Lonchura striata: one gene and its partners. The protein of the gene in region 3 purifies or fractionates together with the protein of the main gene of each other region. This does not show direct contact. Links are inferred from orthologs where the notes say so. Each region holds a gene or a part of one and is shown on either strand. Other genes may lie near its edges. The genes, in order: VANGL1, VANGL2 and PTPN3.

What was found.
Region 1: the proteins of PTPN3 (region 3) and VANGL1 purify together in Homo sapiens (affinity purification with mass spectrometry; 4 studies listed by BioGRID and IntAct, with this or other methods). This does not show direct contact. The link is inferred for Lonchura striata from reciprocal best matches to the Homo sapiens genes PTPN3 and VANGL1.
Region 2: the proteins of PTPN3 (region 3) and VANGL2 purify together in Homo sapiens (affinity purification with mass spectrometry; 3 studies listed by BioGRID and IntAct, with this or other methods). This does not show direct contact. The link is inferred for Lonchura striata from reciprocal best matches to the Homo sapiens genes PTPN3 and VANGL2.

Annotation. Positions count from the first base shown.
Region 1 is NC_134604.1:26,912,144-26,915,886, reverse strand, and holds the start of VANGL1 (vang-like protein 1), read right to left. Parts: upstream 2,822-3,743; 5' UTR 2,711-2,821; intron 1-2,710.
Region 2 is NC_134635.1:3,628,918-3,632,660, reverse strand, and holds the start of VANGL2 (vang-like protein 2), read right to left. Parts: upstream 2,820-3,743; 5' UTR 2,729-2,819; intron 1-2,728. UniProt on the Homo sapiens protein: Involved in the control of early morphogenesis and patterning of both axial midline structures and the development of neural plate. Plays a role in the regulation of planar cell polarity, particularly in the orientation of stereociliary bundles in the cochlea.
Region 3 is NC_134603.1:65,422,036-65,425,778, reverse strand, and holds the start of PTPN3 (tyrosine-protein phosphatase non-receptor type 3), read right to left. Parts: upstream 2,963-3,743; 5' UTR 2,882-2,962; intron 1-2,881.

The DNA of each region.
Region 1 (3,743 bases), on a different chromosome or scaffold from region 3:
GGCTTTTACTCTATGGTGGAGGCTCTTGATTTGCAAGCCACTCATTCTAAAAAAACCCATTTAGTAGTCAGCAAATACAAGCTCTCTAGCAATAGGTTCTCTTTTGCTTCTCAGAAGGTCCTCAGAAAGATTTCACAGATCCCCTGGAATTTCCAGCCCAAAAACTGAAAACCATTAGTCCACAACATGGATATTTCAGAAAAAAAACCTACTTGTGTTTATTGAAGCAATTCACTGTTTAATCAGAACATGCAACAGCAACTGACAAGAGAAATACCCAGGCAAAACCACCACTCAAGTGAGCAGAGCTTCCAAGCAGTAACCCCCAGCCTCTTGTCCCTGTTGCACAGCTGGAAGCTCTCTCTGTGAAGCACTTCCCTGGAGGGATGTCCTTTGCCCACTCCAAGAGCCACACCTGTGCTGTCCAAGTTTCTGAAGCACAATGAGCACTTGAGACTATCATGCAAACTACACCTCAGTGCCATGCTCTCAGACTAGTGAAAGCTTGTCCTTCCTCACTCATGGGTCTGTTCTGTGCTGTAAGACCTTCCAGTGCTCCTCTTAACTCCAGAGCCATGCAACATGACATAAGGCATGTCCTCAACCTCAGGACACCAGAGCACCTGGGACTGTGCACAGGAATACAGTTTTCCATATTGACATTAAAACAAAACAAATGGGGAAAAGTGTCTCACAAGATGCCACTGACTGCCTATCCCAGCAGGCAGCACCTGTACCTCATTTTCAATATTTGCTTTTAGCCATAGCACTTAGATACTGAGTTAGCATTAAAAGGTATGAACTGCAAAAGGTTTCTCTACTGAAAGAGCACCCCCGCCTTTAGGACACTTCATATCTGCCAGCATTTTCCATTTAAATTTAGAACAAAAAAGAAGTCTACAGACCCTGAGAAAATCCCCAGGACACAGCACAGTGGGACTCTACAGAATGGAGTCTCTCTATATCACCCTCATGCTCAAATCTTTACAAGTTCAATGCCATTCTGGCCTTGCAAGGAGAGAGGGCAAAGGTGTTGACCCCTGAGAAAATAGCCATTGATTTTTAATTTGACCCAAGTCAGGAAATTCTGACATACAGGCTAATGAGAAATTAAAAGAAGTACTAAAGTAGTTTTTACACGGGTTCATTTTCTTCTTCCAAGCGAACAGTACCAGACCGTACCGTGGAGAAACATGAGCTTACTGTTTCCCACCAGCAGAACTGGACATCACAGCTCCCCACTCAGGTCTGCTCCTCAGGTCCCCACACAGCAGCACAAACCCTGCAGCAGCAAAGTCACGTTTCTGATACCATCCTTTGCTTTGGTTGCAAGAGGTGAGGGGGTAAGGAAGGCAAGCTACAACAACACAACATGCAGTTCTGCTAGTACAATAACTGCAGTCATTCGGTGGTGTTGCCCTAGTACTGCATCCCAGTCTCACAATGACAGGAAGCCCTCTCCAGATGCGCATATCCATGAGACAGCAGCCATCAGGAACAACTGCCACTACTAACCAAAACCAAAAGGTCAGAAGCAACCACTGTGAGCTGCTGGTGAGTGGCTGGGAGCAGTTAGATATTTGCCTGACTGGTTCCAGTACAGCCAGGGATTATTCCAGAATTCGAGCTACAGGGAGCATTTTTAAAAGAGGCTTTCTACAAGACACCATTCATATTTATTTTTCAAAATTAACAACTCTGTGTTGTGATCACAGAGCCAACATTAGCCTCAAAGCTGTGGCCAGCTAAATAGCCAAACCCCAGTGGGGGAAAAGAGCCAAGCATGGTCAAAACGAAGCTTTTCAAAGGTAGCAAAGCACTGCTGAAGCACCTTCTCCACAACTCTCCTCCTCGAAGTCAGGCTGAGCTCACAGGCAATGATATCACAGAACATACTTCGTAACATCCTAATTTGCACTTCCAGCCAGCGTGACTCCACTTCTTAACTCTTTATAGCCGCACAGATCTTGTGGGCAGTTCATTACTGACAAATCCAGGGTCAAAAAAGTCCCACTGCTCTAAACAGTCACAGAATCGCCCACCTGCCTCCTCAGATCGAAAACGCTGCCATCAAGTCACTCATGCTTTCACTGATTGCAATTCAAAGAGTTCAACCCTCGGCATGAGAGTTAGTTAACCACCCTGACAACCTTCTGAATCAAAAACCCAACCCCCCCGCGCTATTTCGCAGCGGCTCTCCTTCCCGTCACTTCTGCTCCCCGTCCCGTGCTGCCCAGCGGGATGAGCCCAAACACAGAGCAGTCTGTTTTACACGGCGTGGGCAGCAAGGCACCACCAGCAGAGCGCTCACACCAGCGCGGAGCCTCTCGCACCAACAGCGCACGGGCTCCTTGCAAGGCGAGGCTCGGCAGCAGAGCGCTGCTCGCCGTGCGGGGCTGCGCCCGCGGCCCTGCCGGCACCGAGCGTGCCGGCACCGGGATGCCGAGATCGTAGACCCGCAGCCCCAGCAGCCTCACGGCGGGCAGGAGGGAGGCCCCCGCCCAGGCACAGGAACCAGCGCGCAGCCCGGAAAGCGCCGGGCAGGGCGGCGGGACGCGGCGGGCTCGCACCGCCCGGCCGGGCACGGCAGCCGGAGGCTGCCACCCTGCCGCTCCCGCCGCCCCGGCACCGGGGTCCCGGCGGCGGGAGGGCGTGGCGGGGCAGCGGCATCGCCCCCCGCACGGACAGACGGGCAGACGGACGGACTCACCTCCCTCCCGCGGCCGTCCCATGCTGCCGCCGGCACCCACCCGACCTCCGCCGCCGCGCCGCTCCCCGCCACCTTCCCCGGCGGCGGCCGCCGTCGCTGCTGCCGCTTTCCGCTTCCTGTGCCCGGCACCGCCCCGCACCCGTCCCTCCCCCGCCGGAGCCACCGCCCACGGGCGAGGCTCGCCGGCCCGGGAGGCCGCTGCCGTCGCTGCGACTCCGGCGCCTAAATGCCCCCGGAGCCGGGGTTGCGGCGCACCTGGGGGGTGTGCGGCGGGACCCGCCACTCAGCCCCCCAGGCGTGATTTGACGCTTGGACCTCTCCCCGTAGTTCAGCCTCCTCTGCACCTCGGGCGTACACACGCTCCTTCACATCTCCTGCCGCTTTCTCCATCGCCGCCCGCCTTGCTCCAGCCCATGAGCCCCGCACCTCTTCCAAGGCTCCGCAGCTCTCCTCCACCCAGCCATGCTCCTCGTCTGTCCCGTGCCGTCACCTTCTCCTCCAAGAGAAAGATACTCAGTCCCTTGGAGCTATCCCATCCCAGGTTACGGTGGCCTTGGGTTTCCTCCGAGGCTAAGTGTATTGCCAGGCACTCTAATGCCTGGCTTTTGGGACGGCTTGGTCTGCTCCTCCACCCAAAGGCTGCAGCCGCAGCGCCCTTTGCCCCTGGTCACAAGAGGACTGCCATGAGGAAGCACCTCCTGCCGCCCAGGGAGAAGGGCCTTGTTTGCCTGAAGTTTGCCTTGGGCACCAAATTCCTGGCACCACTTGCTCTGGGCAGGTGGGAAAGAAACAGGAGAGTCCCATGTAAGCACAGGCCAGTTTTTCTACATGTAAATGTTGCTCCTATTTCATTTCACCTTTGGTTTGTCTTACCCTTTAAAAATATTTATGTTTTCGGGACATACAATGGGCTAGCAACTTGGAATGTATGAAGAAAATCTAGACCTCCCAGATTCCAGTCCTGCACTTTCAACTGCTCAGGAATGACCCTGTCCACAAATGGAACAAATGAAGAAGCTGAAGTTATTCCTAT
Region 2 (3,743 bases), on a different chromosome or scaffold from region 3:
CTCGAGGCTGTTCCCTCTTGTCTGGACCCCGTTCCCTGGAATCAGATCCCAAATCCCCCTGATCCCACTTTTCTCTGGGATCACCCCCCAGGTCCCTCAGGATCCTCCGTTCCCTTTTCCAGCGGCTCCAGCCCCGTTCCCATCCATGGAATTTCCCACTTCCCTTCCCAGCCCCTTTTTCCATGAGGATCCAAACCTGGAAAACCGAATTCCAGAGCTGGAATCCCAAATTCCCAGCAAAAAAATTCCTGGGGATTCTGGAATTCCCACCGCACATCTCTAAATTCCCCCATCCCAAATTCCTGGGGAGCGCTCAGGATTCCCTGGAGAAATCCCAAATCCAAGCTCTCCGTCCCTTCCAACAATCCCAAGGACGCCCCAAAGCCGCTTCCAGGTGGCTCCACAGGATTTGGGAAGGACGATCCCAGAAATCCACGTCCTCGCTCGGAATTCCGATGTTTTCTCCAGGAGAAACCCCAAAACCCCAATTCCTGCCCCGAAAGGACACCCGGCTCGCCCAGGACTGGGGCTGTGGATCCGTGAGAACTCTTCTCCAGCAGCTGCCGATCCTTTGGGATGCTCCCAATCCAATATCCACGTCCAGGATCCCGGAGAAGCGGCCGGGACGGGATCCGGGCGGGATCGAGGAACGCTGCCGATGTTTTCATCCAGTCCCGGGATCCGCAGGGAACTCCTTGGATTTGGGGCGGTGCTGGCCGGAATTCCGAGCCGGGAATTCCCAAATCCCTTCCCAGGATCTTCTTCCCGAGCATCCCGGGCCGGACAATAAATCCACAAAAGCTCCGCTTGGAAAAACGATCCCAAATCCCGAATGAAGCCGGATCCCTCGGGCCCCATTGTCTGCCGGCAGCCGGGGAAAACAAGGAACTTCCCATGGGATCATTCCCAAGGCTGGGATGTCCCCGGCCCCTCTGGAATTCCGGGCGGGGGACACGGGGTGACCTCACCCCGGAGCGGCCGCCCCCAGGTCCCCCTCTCCGGCCGCCGCCTGTTAATTGTTGATTGTTCATTAATTAAATCATCCCAGCTTCACAAAGCCCCTGGAAAATCCTCGGGATCCCGTCTGACTCCCAGCCCCATCCTCGGATTTCTGGGATGGAGAAAATCTTCTTTTCCAGGAGATCCGAATTATTCCCAAATCTCCTTTTTTGTGTGTGTGCGTGTGTTTTGATTTCTTTTTGTTGTTCTGTTGCGTTTTCACCTCCGCCCGCGGCGGGGGAAAAGGATCCCAAAGGAAAAAAATCATCCCAGGCCGGGCTCCTCCCGGGAACTCCCGGCGGCTCCGCCAGGAACCGGCTCGGGATCCAGGAACCGGCTCGGGATCCAGGAACCGGCTCGGGATCCAGGAACCGGCTCGGGATCCAGGAACCGGCTCGGGATCCAGGAACCGGCTCGGGATCCAGGAACCGGCTCGGGATCCGGCCCGGGCTGTCCCGGAGCCGGGGGCACCGGGCGCGCCCGGCCCACGGACCCCCGGGCACCGGGCAGGGCCGGGGGGCACCGGGAGAGAGGGGGACACGGGACACGGGGGACATGGGACACGGGACACGGGGACACGGGACACGGGGCACGGGGGGGACACGGGACACGGGGACACGGGACACGGGACACGGGGACACGGGACACGGGGCACGGGGGGGACACGGGACACGGGGACACGGGACACGGGACACGGGGACACGGGACACGGGACACGGGGACACGGGGACAGCGGGGACACGGGGGACATGGGGGGACACGGGGAGAGAGGGGGACACGGGACACGGGACACGGGGAGAGAGGGGGACACGGGGACAGCGGGGACACGGGGAGAGAGGGGGACACGGGACACGGGACACGGGACACGGGGGACACGGGGACACGGGGGACACCCCGCCCCAGGGACCCCCGGGACGGCCCCGCCGCGCCCGGACACCGGCGAGGGGATGGGGACAGCGGGGACAGCGCGGGGGACACCGGGGACACCCTGAGGGTGACGGGGGGGACACAGTGGGGACACCGGGGACACCCTGATGGGGACGGGAACACCGGGGACACCGCGGAGACACCCCAGGGACATCCCGAGGGTGCCGGGGACACCGGGGAACACCCCGGACACATCCCGAGGGTGCCGGGGACACCGGGGAACACCCCGGACACATCCCGAGGGTGCCGGGGACACCGGGGAACACCCCGGACACATCCCGAGGGTGCCGGGGACACCGGGGAACACCCCGGGCACACCCCGAGGGTGCCGGGGACACCGGGGGACACCCTGGGGACATCCCGAGGGTGCCGGGGACACCGGGGGACACCCCGGGGACATCCCGAGGGTGCCGGGGACACCGGGGGACACCCCGCAGGTGCCCCGGGATGGGCTCAAAGCGCTCCGAGGCCGCCGCCGCCGCCGCCGGGGGGGATTCGGGGGTCCCGGGGGTCGCATCGCGCCCCGAGGAGGCTCCGGCGGAGCCCCGCAGCCCCTCGGGGTCCCGGGGAGGTGCCGGGGGGGGGTCCCGGGGGTCCCACCGCCCCCTCCCCAGCCGGGACCCCCGGCCCAGCGCCGGGCTCGGGGCTCCCGCAGCCGCCGCCGGCCCGGGCAGAGCGGCGGTGCCGGGGCCCTTCCCGCAGGGAGCGCGCCCGGCGCGGCCCCGGCGCGGCCCCGGGGCCGGTTCGGCATCCCGGGATCGCCCCGGCAGCGGCCCCAGCCCCCCGGTGCCCCCGCACTCACCATCGCCGCCGCACCTTTGTGCGCGTCCCCCCCGCACCGAAACCCCGGCGGCGGCGGCGGCGGCGGCGGCGGCGGAGGAGGAGGAGGAGGAGGAGGAGGAGGAGGAGGAGGAGGAGGAGGAAGAGGAGGAGGAGGCGGAGGAAAGCCCGGCTCCCCCGGACCCCCCCGAGCCCGGCCCCGGCCCCGCCGCTCCCGCCCATTGTCTGCGCTGCGCGCTCCCGGCGCCGCCGCGGGGCCATTGTTTGGGGCGGGGGGACACCCGGGGACCCCCGAACCCCGCGGACCCCCCCCCCGACAGCCAGAGACCCCCCCCCAGCCGGGGGGATTCGGGGTGAGGATGCGCTTTTTTGGGGGAGGGGGCGCTTTTTGAGGAGAGCCCCCCCATTTTTGGGCGCACGGGGCGTTTTTTGGGGAAGAATCCCCCGGTTTTTTTGGGGTTTTTTTGGGGGGGGGGCAGTGAGGGTTGAGCCCCACCTCGTGTCCCCCCCCCCGGCCCCGCATGGGCTCCCAAAAGGTCTCGGGACCACAAAGGGTTCTCAGCCCCCCAAAATTGCCCCCAGGGGGTCTCAGCCCCCCAAAATTGCCCCCAGGGGGTCTCAGCCCAGGGGGGCGGGGCACAGCCCAGCTGCTCCCACCTTGTTTTGGGGTGTGGGGAAGGATTCTGGACCCCATAAACCCCCCCGAAATAAGATGGGGTCCGGGTCCTGCACCCGGCCGGGTTTGGGGTGTCCTGGGGGGGGGGTCTGGCCGAACCCCCCGGGTTTGGGGTCACCCCCAGCCCCAGCGGTTCCGGGGTGCGTGGGAGCGGCTGGAAGACCCCAGCCCCATCCCTGCGCAAATGGGGGGGACCCCCGGCCCGCAGGAGAGCCAGGGCGGTGGGAGGGAGTTTTTGGGGGGCGCTGAGGGCCAGCAGCACCCCTCGAGCCAGAAGAGGTCTCTGGGGACACACGGGGGGCTCCAGGCCTTCATCTCCCCAGAGGGAGGGACCCCAAATCCCCCCGAGCCCCCCAAAGCC
Region 3 (3,743 bases):
ACACCAACAAATACAAGGAGGAAGCAAAATAAATATTTTTTGCTTAATATACTCAAAGCTGTAGTTTTGGGAAAGCAACTGAAAAATGTTGCTCTCTCATTTTCCTTGCAAACTTTTCACTAGATGAGCAGTGTTGCCCCTGACAGAAATCAATTCTCAAGTTCATAGTCATGAAGCTTAGAGAATGTGTTTCTCAGTCAAACAAACAAACAAAGAAAAAGAAACCCAACAATTAAAATCAAACCCACACCACAAGGCTTCTATAAAACTAACAATTAACATTTATCACATTTAGAACAAAGAGATTGGTAACTGTGGTCCTCATCGCCACTTAACTACACTTTACTTTTAACTGGTTGAGTTTTAATGAACAAATACCCCTATGCATAGATGCCAGCATGGCAAATATTATTTGTGAATGAAGTGACAAAACAGAAGAACTGCTCACTGTACCGGTATTTAGTCCACCTTGGAGAATTTTAACATTAATGACTTCTGTGCATAAGACTTTCGGTGTTATACCTATGTAAGATTACTCCTTCAGTGCCTATGTAAAGCTATCATTTACCCATCAGTGTAAAAAGTAGGTCAAGCTTAGAAAACTATGCACAACTGTCTCTGCTATAATACTGACTACTAAAAAAACAGTCCACCCAAGATCTTTAGAAATCAGCTGATATTTTAGACTCCTGGATTGGATGAAAACATGCTTTATTACATGGTAACTCATGAACATAGAAGATAATCAAGATAATCTTCATCTTCAAGAAGAAAATTATACTACCGCTAGCTTTTTTATTACTACTTTTCTGTTGCTTCTGCTTTAAGTATATTACACCAATAATACAAAATGATGAATTAAGAAGCAGTTATGGAGCTTTGCAATTTAATAGCATATCACTTAATAGTTTTATCAGCATCTTAATTTGTACTGAAAATATTTTGAAAGCATGAAGGTGGAGAGTTAAGTATTGCAAAGTACAGCATGTAACTGTGATATTACTTAAATTTATGTCTTAAAATAATGAACTGTCCCCATCTTAGAATACGTAAAAAGTTGATGTGGAAGGATTAGAAATGCTTATTAAGTCAGAGAGAGAGATGACAAGTGTTAAAGAATTCTTCCAAGAATCCACTGCCAGCAATATTAGGGTGCTTAATGAAACAAAATTGATCTTATCATCACAAGTTGGTCCTTCAAATGAGGGCTGTTCTATTAAGTGTACTTAGAATTATGTGGAGTATTACATTTTTTCTTATGAACTAGAGAACAAAAATGTATTAAGTATTTGTCACCAACCTATCAAGACATTTTTGCCACAGGACAATACCAGAGAATATCACCATCATAAAAATTTAGCATTTGTGTTGCACTGGCAAGCAAGCCTTTTTAGATAAGTAACTGAGGTGACTGAGGAGACTCTTCTTCCCCACAGTTCTGTTTGTTGACTGTTTCCCTTATGATCAAACCCACTCAGGTAATAGGGACAACTTGCTTCTTGTACAACTAGTTTCAGAAAAATTTTGTTTCTAAACAAGTGAGAGTGCAGCTGCCCTCCAAAGCTGAGTAAGTATTCCACACATCTACATTCATTATTTTATAAATAATCCTTCAATGCAATGCTCTGCAAAATTAATACTTCAGTAATATATGTATTTCTACTAGAAAGACAGTTTGTGACTAACAGAGTAGCAGTACCAATATTCAATAGCATTAAAGAACTAACTTGTTCTGCTTTCTGTTACATAGGTATTAGAGCAGTAGCAATTTGTGATAGGCTGAAGAGCACCACAAGGGAAGCGATCATCCTAGCAGGGAGGACAAAAAAATCCCAACTGTATCTTTGAAAGAGAGGAAAGCAAGGAGCAACAGAAGGAGAGACTGGCTAATTACTTTGGATAAGTTCATTCAAGAGAGGAAACAAGAAGTGCTGCAAGATGAATGAGAATTCTATATTAAAAGAAGTATCCAATTTTACTGCTGTTTCATCTGTTCCGTAACACCAATGAGGCAAATAGTCGTCACACTTGACATACATGGATATATTATATATTTCTTAGATATATTGGATATTTTTGTATCTCCACAGGGCAAGTCAGCACCCAAAACGCTGAAAAGTAACCGCTGTGGAGCACCGGCAGCCTTTGTGGTGGGGCAGCTGCTGCTAACTAGTCGTGGTACTGTATCTCCGGGCTTTGGGATTCTTATCCCCCGGCAGACCCGTCCGGTCGGGGGCACGGGCAGGGCTGCTCTGCGCCCGCAGCGCTCGTCTCTCTCCTAAACACGCCCGAGGCACTCGGGGCTCGAGAATACTCTGAAAACGGGTGCTCCGCCAACGATGTGGGGGAAAAAAGCCGGGAATAGAGAAGAAGCCAAACTCGCCCTATATTAACAGGCAGCAAAGGCGAGCGGGGGGAAAGCCCGGGGACGGGACGGGACGCTCCCCGTGCCCTCCTCCGGTGGCCGGTGCTAGACACACAAGGCGCGGAGCGGAACAGAAAACGGAGGGACGCGCGGAGCGGAGCAGCGCCGCCCCCCGAGGGCACGGCTCGGCTCGGCACGGCTCGGTCGGGGGGGAGCTGACACCCAGCCCGGCACGGCCGCGCACCTTCCCGCTCGCTTTCCCCTGCGCCAGCCGCCGGGAGCAGCGCTCGCCCCCGCTCTCCCGCGGGGCCGGCGGACAGCCAAGCACCGGCGCGGGGCCAGCCGCCCGGCCGGGCACTCACCGCCCCGCCGAGGTGCAGGAGGAGGAGGAGGAGGAGAAAGAGGAGGAGGCGCGGGGGCGGCCCCGGCGGCACCGCCGCCCCCGCCTCCCGGAGGCGCCCCGGCGGCGCCAACTTTCCCCGCGCCCCGCGCCGCTCCCGCCGCCTCGCCCGGTACCTGCCGCGCCGCCCCGCGCCGCCGCCGCCACCCCGCTGCCCCAGGGGGCGCAGAAGGCCGTCACGGCCGTCGCGGCCGCCGCCACCGTGCGGACCGAGGAGAGCAGGTGCGGAGCGGGCACCGCGGAGCCGCTCCCGCCGCCGGCTCCGGCTCCGGCTCCTGGGCTGGGCGGGCAGGGCGGGGCGGGGCGGGGCGCCGAGGAGCGCCCGCCGCCCGCGCCCGCCCCCTAGCGGAGGGAGCGAGCGGCCGGGCCCGGCCCAGCTCCCGGCCCGCCCCGCCGCTGCCCAAGCCCGGCTCCGCTGGAAGCCCTTCGGCGCTTTCCGCCCTTCCGCAGGGGGAACGGGAGCGGGGTCACCGCGGATGGCGGGGCTGGAGCTGTTCCCTCGCCTCCTTCCCTCGCCCCGCGGCAGCCCTGGCGGGGACTGCCCCGCCGTCACCTGTTCCGCACGGCCGTGGCGGCCGCGGTCCCGCCCGGGTCCCTCCCTGCCCGCAGCTCCTCCCGGCTGTGCCCGCTGGCAGCGCGGCACAAGCAGCTCTGGGGGCCGGCTCCAGAGGCTGACACCAGCTGGGCACACCGCCGGCTGGCGGACCCTGCCAGGCGACGAGGAACCGCGTGTCCCTCGTGCCATCGCCTGGGGCAGAGCGGGGCCGGCACAGGAGGTGCGAAGTGTCGCCACAGCCCGCAGCGGGTGGCACAGCCCGCCCGATCGCCTCTCCCCGCCGGAGGAGAGCAGGTCTGGCCGCCGGCGGGGCGCGGCGAGCGGGCCAAGGTGTGGGGATGCGTGTGGAGCCTCCTGCTTCCCTCGCGTCCCCGCTCCCCGCCGGGCTCTGCGCTGCACCGCCGTGCCCGAGGCATCGGCTC